4 linked regions of the Rattus norvegicus genome follow. The protein of the gene in region 2 purifies or fractionates together with the protein of the main gene of each other region. This does not show direct contact. Links are inferred from orthologs where the notes say so. Each region holds a gene or a part of one and is shown on either strand. Other genes may lie near its edges.

Region 1 (3,104 bases), on a different chromosome or scaffold from region 2:
TACACACTCACACTCACTCACACCCTGGACAGGGGGCAAAGGACTATGACACCCTGCAACTGTAAAGCCCCAGGGTGAGGACAACAGGTGACTCCAGGGCCAGGGAGGGGGCCCCTAAACATGGCCGGCTAACGGCTTAGAAAACAGGAAGACAGAACAAAAACTGCACATGGAAAAAATAAATTGTCACAGTTAACAGAGGAGCATTTTAAAGTCAGAAAACATCAACGCTGGGAATCTAAGAACTGAGGTTCCCAGTGGCTAACAGACAATCAGACTTCACAGAGGGCAAAGAGCGGGCCCTGCAGGCAGGCAGACACTGGCCACCGCAGCCCGGCTCCAGGCAGGTCTCAGTCAGAGAAGCAGCACCCGCTCTGTGGCCTGCTCACACTCACCGGCATGGTAGACGCCCCACCCCATCCCAGCCGCACTAAGGCTGTCGTGGAGTATCACGGCCCGGAGGTCCACAGCATCAGTCTTGTGCTACACTCACACACCGTCCCTCACATCCTCACTCAGAGGACAGACAGCTTGGCGACTCACAACGTTATGATTGTTCCGTCTTCCTCTAAGAGTTTCTGATCCGGAGCTCGGCTTTCCGACTCGGTGTCCAGGCTGCTGGGGACAGCCACCAGGCTCGTGTCCTGGAGAGGGGAGAACCCATTCTGCCCCGACTCGAAGCTGAGCTCGATCTGCGTCAGGGACTCCAGGCTCAGGGCCTCGGGGGTGGCCTTCGGGATCTGCTGCGGCTCACCACTGCCTTCAATGATAATGTCGTCCTCATCGCTGTCCTGGTCCTCTGGCTCCAAGCTGGCCCCTGCCTGCTGTGGGTAGCCCAGGAGGCTGTTGTCGGTGGACTGGCCGGAGCTGCCGGAAGTCCGACTGTTACGCACCACGTTGTTCCTCTGGTTGGCCGGCCGCACCGTGATGATGAGGTTACGGCTGTTGGCTATCATCATGTCAGTCACCTGGTCCAGGCTCTTGCCTGACACTTCTATACCATTTACTTCTAGAACTTCGTCATTGACAGCCAGCAGGCCCGTGCTCTGGGCCAGGCCCCCGGGGACGAGCCTGGAGATGAAGATCCCGGGAACTTTCTCTAAACCATGCGGCGTCACACGGACGCTGGAGCCGTCCCGGATGTAGAAGCCCAGGGGCTTCTCTGTGCCGTACTTGTACAGACGGACCCTGCGGTGCGTCTCCGGGAGGATGTCCACATCGATGATGGATGACACGGGCCGGAAGTCCTGCGGCATGCTGATGACGATGTGCGGCTTCTTCCTGTGGTTGTCGGGGCGCAGCACGTTGCTCAGCACGTTCTTCTTCCTGATCAGGGTGTCCGTGCCAAAGGCGCTGTAGTCGGCTTCTTCTGCTTGGAGAAAACAAACGCAGGACGGTTACAGACCCACCAAGAAACATGCCTGCCCGCAGCTGACCCGGCAGACAGCGCCTAAGATCAGCCTCCGGGTGTCAGCTACTCAGCCAGAGCAGAGAGCTGCACGGGTGACTGCCATACCCTCAGAGGACACTAGAGGGCGCTATCACACATCGCAAACATCACTAACTACTGAACTACTTAAGTGAGCGGTGAAATTCTGACAGTCAAGTACGGCCCACACACCTGCTGTCATCCCCACGCTTAGGGGCCAAAGACAGAAGGCAGGAGAGCTCAAGTTCAAAACCAAAATCTAAAACCCAAAAGACCCAGAACATCAAAATAACCTGTGGTGGACCTTACAGGCTCAATTTCCTCCTCCTGCTCTTCTCAGGTGAAGAGGCTCACACTGCCAGGCCAGCTTCCGTCACCACACCTGGCTACAACTTCATCTCTTCTCCCCTTCCTGTCCCCCGGGTGTTACCTGGTACTCAAGGCAATCCTCCTCCTGCCTCAGTCTCTGAAAAGCTGGGGTTACAGGATTTACCTCTAATGTTAGCACGTCATCAAGCTTGGGCTGGCAAGAGGGCTCAGTGGTAAAGGAGCTTGCCGCCAAGCCTGATGCCGTGAGTTTGGTTTCCAGGACCCACATGGTGGAAAAAGAATCAACTCTCAGAAGTTGTTCTCTGACCTCTATGTGCACACTGTTGGCAAATATGTACACATATTTAGTACTCACACCTGCAAACCCATCTCTTGTGCAGCGGAGGCAGGAAGATCAGGAGTTCAAGGGCAGCCTCATCTACATACTGAGTTCAACACCAGCCTCAATGACAGGAGATCCCCTCAGAATTTTTAAATCTTTTAAAAATATATTTGCACGTATGGGAGTTTTGCCTGTGTGTGTGTGTGTGTGTGTATGTACCACATGTGTGCCTGGTGTCCTCAGAGATCAGAAATGGGCGTTGGGTCCCCTGGAACTGGAGTCACACCTTGTAAGCCATGTGCGGGATAGAACCTGGGTTCTCCGGAGGAGCGGCCAGTGCTCTTCCCAGCTGAGCCACTTCTCCAGCCAGAATAAAAATGATTTGACATCAGCTACTTGAAAATAAACTCTCTCTTAGCAGGGTGATGGAGCACGCCTTTAATCCCAGCATTCAGAGGCAGGGCAGAACCTCTGAGTTTGAGGCCAGCCTGCTCTACATGTAGAGTGAGCCCCAGGACAGTCTCGGCTACACGGGGAAACCCTATTTTGAAGGGGAAAGAAAACAAACTTGAGATACAGTCTCACACTGAAGACTAGGTTGGCCATGCTGGAGCAATCCTCCTGCCTCTGCCTTTACTGAGCTAAGATTAGTGTTATCCCAACCTGCCCGCTTAAAACAGCTCCTTTAAATGCAGGTTTTCCTGCATTTAACTAGAACACTTCCGCTTTGCATATTTATCACATCCAAAATAAGGCGGGGGAGGGGAACTCAGGAGAGAAAGATGGCTGGGTGTGGCAGTGGGGGTGGGGGGCACTTGCCTGGAACTAGTGAGGCCCTGGGTTCAGCAGCTGGGAGGGTGGGGGAAGAGGAACAAACCTAACCGAGCCACACTTAATCCAGCCACACTTAATCGTGTGAAGTCAGGACGCAGCCAGTGCTGTTTGTCTCTAAATCAGCTCCCTTCTCCCCATGGGCTCTGAATCTCTCACTCCCCACTCTGGCAGAGGCAGAGGTGTGGGATC
Region 2 (4,314 bases):
ACACCCCAACTGTAGGCTGGCCACTCACTGTCCCTCAGGTAGGTGTCAGCAAAATAGAGGGTCCGAACAAAGCCGGTGAAGGAGTCCTCTGCTGAGCGGGCCTCGATCTTGCGCTGTACAGGTGCCAGCTCCATGTTCTGCAGCCCTGTCCGTTCTGCCTTGGTGTTCACAGCCTGAGCCTGCGCCTGCAGGAAGTTGGGCTGGGTCTGAGGGTGGGCTCTTGCCTCTGCTCCTCAGAACATTAACTCGATCAATGCTAATCCTTCTGGGGCAGGGCTGGCCATAACCATGCCAATCTGACTGTTTGGACCCAAGAGGACTTTGTCCAAGTAAGAGGTTCCCTGAGGAGAACTTGCTTGACTTCCCAGCATTTCATGGAGGAAAGGGACAGAAAAATAATAAGACAATTGTCTTGGCTAATTTTTTTTTTTTTTTTTTTTGGTTCTTTTTTTCGGAGCTGGGGACCGAACCCAGGGCCTTGCACTTCCTAGGTAAGCGCTCTACCACTGAGCTAAATCCCCAGCCCCTGTCTTGGCTAATTTTATGTCAACTTGACACAGGTGAGAGTCATCTGAGAGAAGGGAACCCCAGCTGAGAAAAAGCCTCCATAAGATTGATCTGTGAGCAAGCCCCTAGAGAATTTTCTTAATTAGTGATTCATATAGGAGGGCCCAGCCCACTGTAGGTGGCGCCATCCCCTAGGCAGGTGATCCTGGATTGTATAAGAAAGCAGACTGAGCAAGCCACCAGGAGCAGAACAGTAAGCAGCACCCCCTCCATGGCCTCTGCATGAGCTCCTGCCCTGTTTGGGTTCCTGTCTTGACCTCCTTTGATTATGTGGAAGTGGGAGTCAAACAAACCCTTTCCTCCCCAAGTTGCTTTGGCCATGCTGCTCATCACAGCAACAGTGACCCTGACTCAGACACCAGACTTTCTCCAATTCCGAGGGTTACTATTTTTTGTATTTATTTATTTGTGTGGTAGGGGGCAGCGCAAACCAAATAAACCCTCTGGCCCTCACTTGCTTTTGGTTACCGTGTTTCATCTTGGCAACAGTGACTCCGACTAAGACAGCACCTGCACATTTGCTTGGGACCTGCCTCTAACGTGTCACAGGTATGGCTTTCTGGATGCAGGAAGTTGAGCCACCAAGGCAGCGTGGCATATGTAAGGCCACTTGGTAAGTGGGTGGTGAACCTACTTGATCTGGATTCGGATCCTGAACTTACAGCCAAGGAGGGAGAGCTGTATGCCGCAGATGGCTGCTCTGAGCCTGGGGCCTCACCTCGCCCGTGGGGCCACCAGGCCGCCGTTTATGACTGGACGCCCTGCTGCGGCGCATCCGACGGAATGACTGACGTAGGGACTTCTTGAGGGACTTTACGCGGGACAGCGGGCCCTCCAAGGCCAGCTGGTCACTGGGGTGAAGTGTGCACCTTGAGGAGGTAGGAAGTCGTGTCAGGTCATCCGCGGGACAGCACCTCGTGGAGGAGGTCCTCACCCGGTCCCAGTCCCAAGCCCCGGATGCGGTGCTCACTTGACAAAGACCTGCCGCCGCTGCTGGTGATCGAAGAGGCCGAAACCGTGGCTGGTGCCAAAGGCCACAAGCCGCCACTCAGAGTGCAGGGCCAGGGAGGTGACCACAGCTGGGGGCTGGCACTGCACCAGTACAAAGGGCTGAAAGCCTGCCTCAAAGCGCACGGGCCCGGGGCGGGCGGCGAGGCGCTCGTGGCCCTTCCAGCGGTAGCCCTCCTGGTCCTGCAGCAGGTCAGCCTCCACCTGCTCCACGGCGTGCTCTGCCGCCTCATCGTTCAGCTCCAGCACCAGCACCTGAGGTGGGGGTGGCAGAGAGCTCAGCAGAGGCTACACGACACAGCCCAGCAGGGACTCAGGAGCCACGCTAACGCTCAAGGCCTCTGCCTGACTCCAGTCCAAATTCTCATTTCCGGAGGCAGAACAGTGGTCACTCTGGGGTCACTCGATACTGGAGTCCTGCATCTGCTGGGGAAAGCTGCAGGTGTGCGCCCAACGATGCCCTCGGACAGGGGCTCCTGTTCCCCCCTCACAAAGCCGCCCAACCACTCTGCCCTCCACGCCACCCTGCCCAGCCTGCTACCTGCCCTGCCGTGCCTGCCACAGCCAGGTAGCCACTGTATTTGCAGAGGAAAATCTTCTGGATGCCCAGCCGTGGATCATCACTGTAGGGATCAAAGGAGCCCACCTGCCGAGGCAAGGGGATGCCCGTGAGTGGCCACCGGGCCATCCTAGCTTGCCTCCCTGCACCCCTGGCTCCCAGGCCCCTGGCCTCACCTTGCGGAGTGGGGGCCACTCGTCCTCACCCTGGGCGCTGAGGTTCTCGCTGAGGTCTGTGTCTGTAAGGAACACCCTCACGGTACTGAGTTTGTACAGCAGCCGTAAACAGACACCCGAGGCGTCCCAGAACCGCACTGTGCCATCCTCGTGCCTGTGGGCAGAGCCTGGTGAGGGCTATGTCAGCCAGGGTGCCTGGGGTCTTGAATGCACAACCCAGCCACTAAAGTCACCTACCCTGTGAGCAGCAGGTCCCTCTGCGGTGGAGGCGGGGCCAGGCTGGTACCACCATCTATGGGCCACTCCTAGAAAAAGAGATCAGGAAGTCCAAGAGAACCTGGGCCCAAGACAGGAGTGGGCTCGGGGTGAGGGCCGGCCCTACCATGGTGGAGAAGTGCGAGTTCTGGCGGCTGCCGGCAGCGATGATTCGTTCCCACAGCTTCAGGGGGATGTTGGAGACATGATGGGAGCAGGTAATGGCTGAACAGTGCAGGGAAGCCAGGTAGGGCAGCTGGACTGGCGGCCAGCCGGGTGTCTGCAGGTCAATCACCACCAGTTCCTCCTCGGCAAGCACCACCAGGGCGTAGGGGTCATCAAAGGCTGGAGAACAGGCAAACGGTCAGGCTAGAAAGAGGCAGGCAGCCAGCCCCGTGTGGCCTGTAGACAGAGCTCCAGGCAGGGAGCTGGGACCATCAATCTGTACAGCTTGTCCTGTGCTGCAAGCTGCAGGCCATGACCAAGGCCTCTCTGCGAGGCTCGGACACCAGTGCCCCTCGGAGCTGAACAAGAGGCCTGAGTTCAGTCAGATATGGGAGAAGCTACCGCCGCTGGGAAATTCTTCCTAATGTGTGGCCTTGGCCCTGATGTCAAGGGAGGGATGGTAAGTATTTTCTGTGCCACACAGCACTTTAGTTTGCCTTGGAGGCCTGAAGCATGGACAGGCAGCAAGCTAGAGAGTATGTCTGTGTCCCCACAGAGTGGCCTCCACCTGTGAACTGCTTAACAAGGAAGAGATGAGAGGAGGGATAGCGCTAGGTAGCTGGAGCAAGAAGAGGGGAGGAGAGGCTGAGAAAGAAGGAAAACACAGGCCTAGGGTCTCCCTGAGAGTGGGAAGCTCCGAAACAAGACTCAGAGCCAGGCGCGCCTGGAACATCGCACCTCTAACCACTGTGGACCTAGGCTCATGGTCATCAGTAGAGGAGGCATGGTCTCCCTCTCCTGCCCAGTTCAAAGGTGTCCCTGTTTCTACACCAAGACCCTTGCTGGTCTTGTCTGTTTTCTCATTTATGAAGCTGACCCATATAGCCACCTGCTACCCCATCCAGACTTCACATCTAAGCCAGGACCCTCTCGCCAAGCGGGACTGGCATAAATCCAGCGTCACAGATCTGTCCGAGTTGGGCCAAATCCCTTAAGGAGGGGTTGGGACAGGCAAGAGGCGTGGCCTGGAAATATGGCATTCCAGACTGGGTCTCCGCCTGGGAGAACTGCAGAGAGAGACAGAGGTTCCCAGGTGTCATTGGCCTTACAAAGAAAGATAATAAGGCCAAGGGACTGAAGGGTGACAGGTTTGGGAACATGTACCCAAAAGCCTTCATTTTTGCACCTGCCCAGCACCCCAACTTCCAACGCTCTCCTACCAGCCACAGGGTCAGCCTCCATGAGAACGGTGAAGTCGATGACACGGGAGGTGAAGTCAAAGGCTGTCTGCTGGCCATTGTGGACCACTGAGATGCAGTGGCGGTCCCCGTAGCTGGCCCGGGGCATACCGCCCTGGAAGATGGTGAAGGGCAACCTGTAGGCACAGGAGAAAGGTGGGCTGGGGCTTCTGGACAACTCTTAACAGTCACAAGCTGTGTTGGCATCTGAGACCTGATACAGAGACAAGTCTCAGCCTTTGAGGCAGGGTCTAGAGACTGCGGGATCCCAGAGCTTGAATGAGGCCAGACTCCCATTTCCTCCTGACTGCAGCACTGAGGTGGGACATCCAGGCTAGGAGCCTTG
Region 3 (4,314 bases), on a different chromosome or scaffold from region 2:
CCTGGATCCCTAGACCCACATCAAGCTGGCTGAGGTAGCAACTGCAGTCCATAGTTCCTATAATGAGGGGGGAAGGGAGAGGTGGAGACAAGAGAATCCCCAAAGCCTGCAGACCAGACTTAGACCAGACCTTGACTGAAGAACAAGAGATCCTGTCTTAAACAAGATGGAGGCCTCTGACATATGTGTACATGGGCACATGTGTTTTCTTCTGTACAAACACCAAAGAACACACACACCAGAGACCTCAAAGCAGAGTTGCTCGTTAATAGGTCTGGGTTACAGTATAGCTCTAATTTTTTTCTTCGTTGTGGTACTAATTTTTCAAGTGAGTGGCAGATTTAGAATCCACAGGAAATGCTTCACTGTTTTTCTAGTAGGTTTCATACCATTGGTAAATTACTTTAGAATAGAAGAATGGATGGATTTGTTGTCTGTCTGCCCGCCCATCCATCCATCCATCCATCCATCCATCCATCCATCCATCCATCCATCCATCCATCCATCACTTTGTAACAGGAAAGGTAGATGTCTATTTACTCTGTCTTGTGTGCCTGGCTTGCTGAAATGTTCCTATTCAGTGCTTAACAGCTCTTTAGGTATCCACCTATTATGGAGGGTGGAATACATGACTGGAGGGGTTTAAGAGCTAGCAACTCAGCCACTGTGTCCTTTGTTTTGTTAGAATGTGGGACTTTGGGTTTCAGGACTCTTTGTCCAGTGTCTGAACTCAGTTCACTTACTTTGGTTGATGCGGGAAGCAGAAGAGTCCCTCTGGTCTTTCAAGGTTATCAATGGCTTGAGATGTCTGTGAGTCAGAATTTCTGTTTCTATGCATAAGGGCTCTATAATCAATATTCGCTTGTGGACGATCAGAAACCCTTCCAGAGTAGGTTTTCAAATGTCTTGAACATGTGTGCCTGTCCCACTGACAAGTCTGTTCTGCTAACAGTTTATTCCTCTGTCCCCTTGGGTAGGAATCACCACATGGCCCATACAGATTAAGGCTTTGTGTTTCTCCTAATGGACTTCATGCTCTCTCACCAGGAAGAGGAAGAACAGGAGGAAGAGGATGATGAAGATGATGATGATGATACTGATGATTTAGATGAATTAGATACTGATCAGTTGCTGGAAGCAGAACTGGAGGAGGATGACAACAATGAGAATGCAGGAGAGGATGGAGACAATGACTTCTCTCCCTCTGACGAGGAGTTAGCAAACCTTCTAGAGGAGGGAGAGGAGGGGGAAGATGAAGACTCTGATGCAGATGAGGAAGTGGAACTGATCCTGGGGGACAGTAAGTATAGGACAGAGTTTGGGATGAGCCTTGGCACCCAGGGCCAGGTCCCTCCTCTTGTACCAACCCATTCCAGAAGAATGGGTTTTGCTGACTCTTCACTCTGGTCGCATGAGGAAAAGCGCTGAGGCACCAGTCACCCCCCTTCTCCTGTCAGACTCCGTAGCCACGCCAGGTGGCTTGTACAATTTTCTGTCAGAGCAAAGACAATGCTTTTTTGCTTCCTGTGTCTTGTCCCTATCACAGCCACTCAGCTGCACTGTAGTAATGAGAAGGCAGTCACAGGCCAAACATAAATTGATGTTTATAGTTGTGTTACAATAAAACTGATTTACAAAATAGGTAGTGAGCTTACAGTTTTTTAATTCGAGCTTTAAAGGATTGGGCTTAGGAAGGCGGAAGCCTGCACCTGAGGGTTGGGCCGAAGTCAGCTTGAAGCAGCTGTTATCGGCTGCTTTGCTTCTGTGACTGCCGAGTGCAATTAAGGAAGGGCTTTTGTGGGAGAGCCTTTCCTGGCTGCTTTTGGCCAGATGTACTCTTTCCTGAAGGCCAAGGAACAACGTTGTCTTGTTCATTTCACTCTATCCCACTTCTTGTTCTAAACTCTAAAGAACAAACTCCAGTTTGTATAGTAATTTTCCACTGGCAGATTTCCGAAGCCATTCCTACCATTGCTTATGAATTTAGGATCTGGGCAGACACCAGCACTGCACTCTGACATGTCTCTGTCCAGCCACAAGAGTGCCACAGTTGGCAGTTATGCTGGCCATGGTGCGAGTATTTTTATTGCTGTCCTGCCTGAGTGAGGAGTGGTTCCTGTCTCATTTAGCTGATACGCCAAGCATTCTCACAGGCACGGTAGGTACTCTGTCTATTAATAACAGACACTTATCAAAGAGGGCTGTTCACATCTAATTAAATATTAGCTTCTCATTTCCAAATGCTCTGTAGCATATGTTGCTGAGCAGTAAGAACACAGGTTTATATCATTTTATATCATGACAAAGTTGTGTTATGGTGGCCTAGGTCAAGCAGACTTCATGCTGCTGCATCAGATGGTCTCCTGTTTATGATCATGTTTCCTGGTATGAGAGAGAGGTGGGTGGTAGTGTGTTTAATATAGATACTCCTATTATGTGGACTGTGTAAACACAATACTGTTCCTCTACCTGATGTAAGTTCATTTTTGGGGGGGATAGATATCTCCTATGTGCTTGTAGAGCTGGGACTGACGGCTGATTGCCTTAGGAGAGACTTATTAGTAATTCCTCTTACTGTATCTGAGGAAGGTCTTGGTGGGAGTGGGGTTGCTTATATCCCCCTATCTGCAGTGTATCATATGCAAAGGTTGAGGAGATTCTGTGGATTAGCCCCAGGCCATGACCTCTGAGGGCTAGATAATGACCCAGGGACATTTTTAATAGTGAGGTATTAGAGACAAGTTTTATCTCCCTTCAAGGGTTAGCAGTGCACTTTAGAGATTTAGTGAACAGCAGGCAGCTGGTGCCACCTGCATGTCTGACATGCTTTTTTTGTTTTGAAATTAAAGATATTTTACCAAAACCCAAGATTTAAAGAAGTTTCCAGATAGACAAGACAGACCAGTCAAAAGCTGCTTTTGAAAGACAGACCCTGTAACAAAGTTACACTATTACCAACAAGGGTGCAGTACTGTTATTGGGCGTTCCATTTTTGTTTGGTTAGGCTTTTTTCTCAAGCCTACTTACAGCGAGAAGCGGCTAGACAGAATAATCTGAAGAACTGAGTTCATGCTTTTAACCAGTAAAATGAGGTCTCCATGAAAAGGGGAGGGGGCATTCTAGACAATGAAAATAAAACTACTTCCCCATCAAAGATAAAAGAGAGAAACCTTCCTTCCCCCTCCTCTAACCCTGACAACTGCCTTCATTCACAGGGCTGTGTACTTATTCCATGATGGGGCAGTGAATGAGAGCAGAGCCGCTACAGTGACCGTGTCCCAACAATCCAGATGACACTTCCAACAGTAAATGAGACATACATGTGCTAATGTGCATTTAATCACCAGAGGAGCGAAGATATCTGGGCTTTTTTTATTCTGTAATGTTTCTAAGCCTGTACCCATTAAATACAAAGCAAAATGGAAGGAGTCTTGGCAGAGCAGCAGGGACACCCACGTGGTCATGAGATGGGTTGAACAGTTACTCAAGCAGGGAGCCTGATCTGTGCTCCAACTTTTTCTAGGTCTCGGACTTGGCTCTTTTCATAGTAGAGCTGTACATCCCAGTACATCCCAGTGCTGGGGACTACTGCCTTCCAGATCCTTTAGCTGATCATAGCTTGCTTGCATGGGGATGGTACATTTTGGTCATGAAACAACTTTTAAGTCCTACATTTATTGGGTCTTACTGGGGCAGACAGTTGACATTTAAGTGTCTCTTTGAGGGGCTCCTGGGCAGCAGTGACCACATGGTTAATGTGCTTCATCCTCAGCTATGAATGACACTGCCATGACAGACACTGGCTCAGCCAGCAGTGCTTGGATTTCCTTTATTATATGGGACAGCATGGTCATCATCTCAGATCCTGAATTTGCCCTGGTCACCTAACATGGTTTGCTGCATGGCCCAGGTTGGCCTCAAGTTCCCCAGTCCTTCTGTCTTCACTTCCTGAGTGCTAGAATTACAGGCATGTGCCACCACACCCAGCCTCAGGGTTTCCATTCCTAATTTGAATATAAACCCTCTCAATTTTAATTTGGTAACAGTACACCCTCCTTTTGATATTCTGAAATTTCTTCTCTCAAAGCAAAGGTAATCTGGAAAACTTTATTGTTACTATATAACCTGGGTATAAATACTGACATAAAATACATGACATTTGGACATTTCTGCTTGGACTCAGAGGTAGAGACGCAGAACTGTCACCTGCAGCTCGTCTTATATTGTACTTTCCTGTTTTATGAGCTGTCCATTGTGGATGTTGCTATCCCGTAGCGTCAGTGGAGCAGACTGTACTAAATAAACCCCTCATTT
Region 4 (4,314 bases), on a different chromosome or scaffold from region 2:
TCTCACAGCTTGCTAAGGCACATACAGCATGTAGGACTGTAGTCCTCACTCTATGGATGATAAGACTGAAGTACAGATGTGACTTGTTCACAGTTACTCAGAATAAAGTAGGAGTGTAGGACTCTAGATCACTCTTTACCACCTTGCGATCTCTGGAAAGATACTCAAAACTGCCAACAATGATTCCTCTGAGAAGAGACCTGGGGCTATGAGACAGCCTGAGAGGAAGACTGCCTTAGCACAGTGTTCTACAGGCAGCTCCTAAAATTCATTTGCATATCTTATCTACTACCACAAAGGTACTTATTAAAATTCTTTCTGTGGTTTAAAAATCTCTGAGCTACATACTTACTTTTTCCAGAGATGAGCACAGGTGTATTACTTTACCTGATTTAGGATGCAAAGCATCGCACTGGGCATTATACATGTGCACAAATTCCTGATGCCTTTTAATAAGCTGCTGTTTGTTTCCTTGAATAGATAAGCCATGCTGTTTCAGCTTTTTCTTTAAATCACGATCAGAGAGCAAGTTATACACAGTTTTGGGCAATGGCTTCCTTTTGTGAGCAGAACTAAGACAAACAAACAAGAAAGACCTTGTGAATTATCAAATATTCTCAGATAAAACAGTAATTTACCTTCCTAACACCTGACTGACTAGAAAAATATTTGAGACATTAAGATAAAAAAAAAGGGGGATGGGAAAATAGTTTAGTCAATGAAGTGCTTGCTTCATAAGCATTAGTTTGGTCTCTAGCATCCATATAAAAAGTTGAGGAGATAGAAACAGAGGCATCCTTAGAGCTTGCTAGCTAGCTTGCCTAACTGACCAAGGCCAGGCAGGCCCCGATGAGAGACTCTGCCTCAAAGAACAAGATAGAGCAGACTCCTGATTATGATACCCAGGGTTGACCTCTGGCTCACACACATGCTAACATATACATGTACCCACACATGAGCATGCATACCCACACCACACAAAGGTAGATAGATGAGTAGGGTGTCAGCATAAGCATTCCGACTAGAGGTCGGCCCTAAGGGCAATTAGATAATAATAAGCAGTTTTCAAAGTGGTCTTCACAACTGCAATCATTTCAAAATTACAACAGCAAATTAATTAGTAAGATCTTAAGACTAGGAGTGTTTAAAAGAAAAAGATTCTTTAAAAAATAAGCAAAGAGAGTTTACAAAAGGCTGTGCTTCTCAAATTTTAGAGGACCTCAGAACTACCAGGAGAGACTGTTTGAAATGACGATGCTCGGTCACTGTCCCACAGCATCCATCTACATGGTACAGTCCTAAAGGTGGAAACTGAGAGTCTTTACTTTCCAGTTTCCCAAGGTGAATCTGATGCAGTGGTCCAAAGGTCATACTGAGAGCACTATTATAGTCATGTATAGACACAACAGTTCTACTCACACGAGAATCATTTCCTGACTAAATTATCTCTTTTATGCTCCATCAGGAAAGTTTGAAAGCCAGAAATCACTTTAGTAATTGTAAGAGGACTGCAACTTCAAAAGAGTGTATTTTTCCAAAATTGTTCTTATAATGGTATCCAACTGGACTCCACAAGATTGATGAAATTATGGTAAAATAAAATCACAGTAGGTAGCAACAACTGAATCATTTTACAGTGTTTATGACAAGCACCAAGGAAGGAGTGACTCATTAAGTCTCTAACTAAAACATTTATTTTATCAAGGACAGACTATTACATTTACAACTATGAAATTCTGATAAATATCTACAGTGTTGTTCACTGGCCTTCACAATGAAAACCCCACCAGATGTCGATCAGCTCTATCAAGAATTTGAGAAACTAAAGCCAGAGAAACATTTCCCCAAGAATGACATGACACTGTTCGTTGCTATGTTGACTCAGTGAAGCTGAGTATCACAAGTCAGGGGTCTCAGAACCAGGACATCAATAGAAAAGAGCTCTGCTCTGAACCAAACGACAACTCCACACAGGATGGGGTCTGGGTTATCAGCCATACTCAGCAATGATCTTTGGTGCTGTAAAGCCAATTTAGGAATTGTAAAACACAACCGACACCAGCAGCTGTCTGTCTCAGGTCTAAGATCTCTCTCTCAGCAGTCTACTGAGAGTGATGCGGTATGGGCTAGCTCTAAGTTGCACTGGAGACCCACTGGCAAGGCTCTCTGTGCAGCCAGATTTGGAACGCCACTGGACGGAGCTAGAAGCATTAGAGAATACGGTAGAGCCTTCTAGAAAGAGAACAATCCAAACAAGACCATCAGTACAAATTTCTTACTCTTCAGGGAGAAAATACTCAGCTCTGCTGCGTCCAACTCATTTTCTGGGGTGAAACACAAGGGGGAAAGCAGTGGATGAGATCACGGCTTAAAGTCATCCTGGGATATCTCCTTGGATTACCCAAATTCCCTCTAACTAAGTAACAAAATTACAACAGCAAATTAATTAGTAAGATCTTAAGACTAGGAGTGTCTAGTCCTATTCCCGTCAACAAGCTGTGGATATCGGAAGGCAGTCCTCGGGGGCACAGTGCTGCCCAGGCTTGGGGTCAACGAGAGCCTGTGCCATGAGGTAACAGCGCATCGCCACTTCAGCCTTTCTAAGTTACAGCAGTACAGCCTGCCCCATGAACCTGCGTTCACTCCAAACTGACTCAGAAAAACTGAGTGGCGCCTTTTTAGTTTTAATAAGTAAAACAGTAAGATAGTCCTGCCTTCTGAGAGAATGCTTTTCGGAGAATATTCCTCAAAACAGATGAACATAAAGAGTTGATCCACTCTCCAGTCACTAAAGTCTTTAGCCCCCTTGACTTTTCCACAGCTCTCTGAATTCTCACTGACTGTCTCCAACTTTACCCCACTTCACTCCCTGTGCTTACCACTGTCCTGTTACTGCCTGATAATGCAGAAGATTGAGGTCTATACCCTGCTTTTAAAAATAAAATCTTCCTTTGACCTTGCTGCCCATGCTTCCTCCCAACTACATCTACCATTGCCAAGCTCAAACCTGACCCTTCTGTTTCTTTATTGTCTCCACCAGTCCCTGCAATTCTCAAAGCCCTGCAATTACACTTCAATTAAAACATCACTCCTTGAACACACAAGTGGACTCTTCCAGATTTGGTGACTTTGGTACACAAAGGATGCAAAGCAGCACAGTAGTTTAGGCACAAATCCCAACCTCACACCTTCTTGGAATGTCATCTCCCGGTGCTTTGGAGAGAGGTCATTACATTCCACATATACCCTCCGGCAAGGAAGAGGAATTAGAAGCACAGGGCTGGAATGGCTCTGTGTAGCCAAAGATAACCTACATTTCAGTCATTTTTACTACCCTTGAGTCTCCTGTCTCAGCCTCCTGAATGCTAGGATTGCAGGCACATATCACTATACTTAGCTAAAAATATTTTTCTGCATCATTTTTACAGGGGATCATTAAGCTATTGAACAGCCTATTAAAAAATATTTTTTTAAAGGATTTACTTATTTTATGTATATGAATACACTGCAACTGTCTTCAGATACATCAGAAGAGGGCATTAGATCCCATTACAGATAGTTGTGAGCCACCATGTGGTTGCTGGGATTTGAACTCAAGACCTCTGGAAGAACAGTCAGTGCTCTTAACCACTGAGCCATCTCTCTCCAGCCCTCAAAAAATAATTTTTGAAAAAGCTCACTAGGATTCAATTCTTAGCACCATATACAGACAAATAGACAAATAAACAGTAGGACTGACTTAAATTAATACTTAAAACATTACATTTTTAATTGTTTAAAGATTTAAAATATTAAAACATCCTAAGAACCAATGAAAGATTTATATTCTTCAAATATAAGCTGTCCCTGCTCTCTTTGGCAAGGCCTCTCTCTGCATGACCATTTGAGAACTTTAAAAAGAAAGTTTAAAAGATAAATGAATTCTAAGTCTCTAGTTTCTCTAAGTCATAATGTAGCAGTGGGAAGCGCTAATCTGCTACTGACATATGGCAGAGGTGAGCTGAAGAAAGAAAAGGAGGATGGAGAGGAAACCAGCATTAAAGGAAAACTCACGCAGGAAGGAAAGCGGAGTGCAAGTCCCCAGGACAAAGGAGTCCTGCTTCTGACCCACACCTATCAAGCACAGAGGCATCATGCAAAGGCAGGCCAGAGGCTGGGCCCAGCTTTCTCACCTTCTAAGGCTCTCCTTTTTCTCTTCCCGTGATAAACAACTGTCTAAATGCTTATTGATGTGATTTTCTGGAATGCTGACCCCACAAACAGGACAAGACACTGCATTAAAAGAAAGGGAGAAACTTTATTAGCCACAGAAAG

Evidence for each region. The genes of interacting proteins can lie anywhere in the genome.
Region 1: the proteins of Llgl2 (region 2) and Pard6b purify together in Homo sapiens (affinity purification with mass spectrometry; 7 studies listed by BioGRID and IntAct, counting the BioPlex papers as one, with this or other methods). This does not show direct contact. The link is inferred for Rattus norvegicus from reciprocal best matches to the Homo sapiens genes LLGL2 and PARD6B.
Region 3: the proteins of Llgl2 (region 2) and Dcaf1 purify together in Homo sapiens (co-immunoprecipitation; 3 studies listed by BioGRID and IntAct, counting the BioPlex papers as one, with this or other methods). This does not show direct contact. The link is inferred for Rattus norvegicus from reciprocal best matches to the Homo sapiens genes LLGL2 and DCAF1.
Region 4: the proteins of Llgl2 (region 2) and Rad18 purify together in Homo sapiens (affinity purification with mass spectrometry; 3 studies listed by BioGRID and IntAct, counting the BioPlex papers as one, with this or other methods). This does not show direct contact. The link is inferred for Rattus norvegicus from reciprocal best matches to the Homo sapiens genes LLGL2 and RAD18.

The regions. Positions count from the first base shown.
Region 1 is NC_086021.1:177,226,006-177,229,109, reverse strand, and holds part of Pard6b (partitioning defective 6 homolog beta), read right to left. Parts: intron 1,370-3,104; coding exon 540-1,369; 3' UTR 1-539. UniProt on the Homo sapiens protein: Adapter protein involved in asymmetrical cell division and cell polarization processes. Probably involved in formation of epithelial tight junctions.
Region 2 is NC_086028.1:101,577,669-101,581,982, reverse strand, and holds part of Llgl2 (LLGL scribble cell polarity complex component 2), read right to left. Parts: intron 4,106-4,314; coding exon 3,951-4,105; intron 2,911-3,950; coding exon 2,693-2,910; intron 2,616-2,692; coding exon 2,548-2,615; intron 2,465-2,547; coding exon 2,311-2,464; intron 2,222-2,310; coding exon 2,117-2,221; intron 1,831-2,116; coding exon 1,538-1,830; intron 1,437-1,537; coding exon 1,286-1,436; intron 186-1,285; coding exon 29-185; intron 1-28. UniProt on the Homo sapiens protein: Part of a complex with GPSM2/LGN, PRKCI/aPKC and PARD6B/Par-6, which may ensure the correct organization and orientation of bipolar spindles for normal cell division.
Region 3 is NC_086026.1:116,411,610-116,415,923, forward strand, and holds part of Dcaf1 (DDB1- and CUL4-associated factor 1), read left to right. Parts: intron 1-1,047; coding exon 1,048-1,300; coding exon of another isoform or gene 1,301-1,428; exon of another isoform or gene 1,429-1,639; intron 1,640-3,215; coding exon of another isoform or gene 3,216-3,247; exon of another isoform or gene 3,248-4,314. UniProt on the Homo sapiens protein: Acts both as a substrate recognition component of E3 ubiquitin-protein ligase complexes and as an atypical serine/threonine-protein kinase, playing key roles in various processes such as cell cycle, telomerase regulation and histone modification.
Region 4 is NC_086022.1:147,355,979-147,360,292, forward strand, and holds part of Rad18 (E3 ubiquitin-protein ligase RAD18), read right to left. Parts: intron 4,273-4,314; coding exon 4,173-4,272; intron 573-4,172; coding exon 388-572; intron 1-387. UniProt on the Homo sapiens protein: E3 ubiquitin-protein ligase involved in postreplication repair of UV-damaged DNA. Postreplication repair functions in gap-filling of a daughter strand on replication of damaged DNA.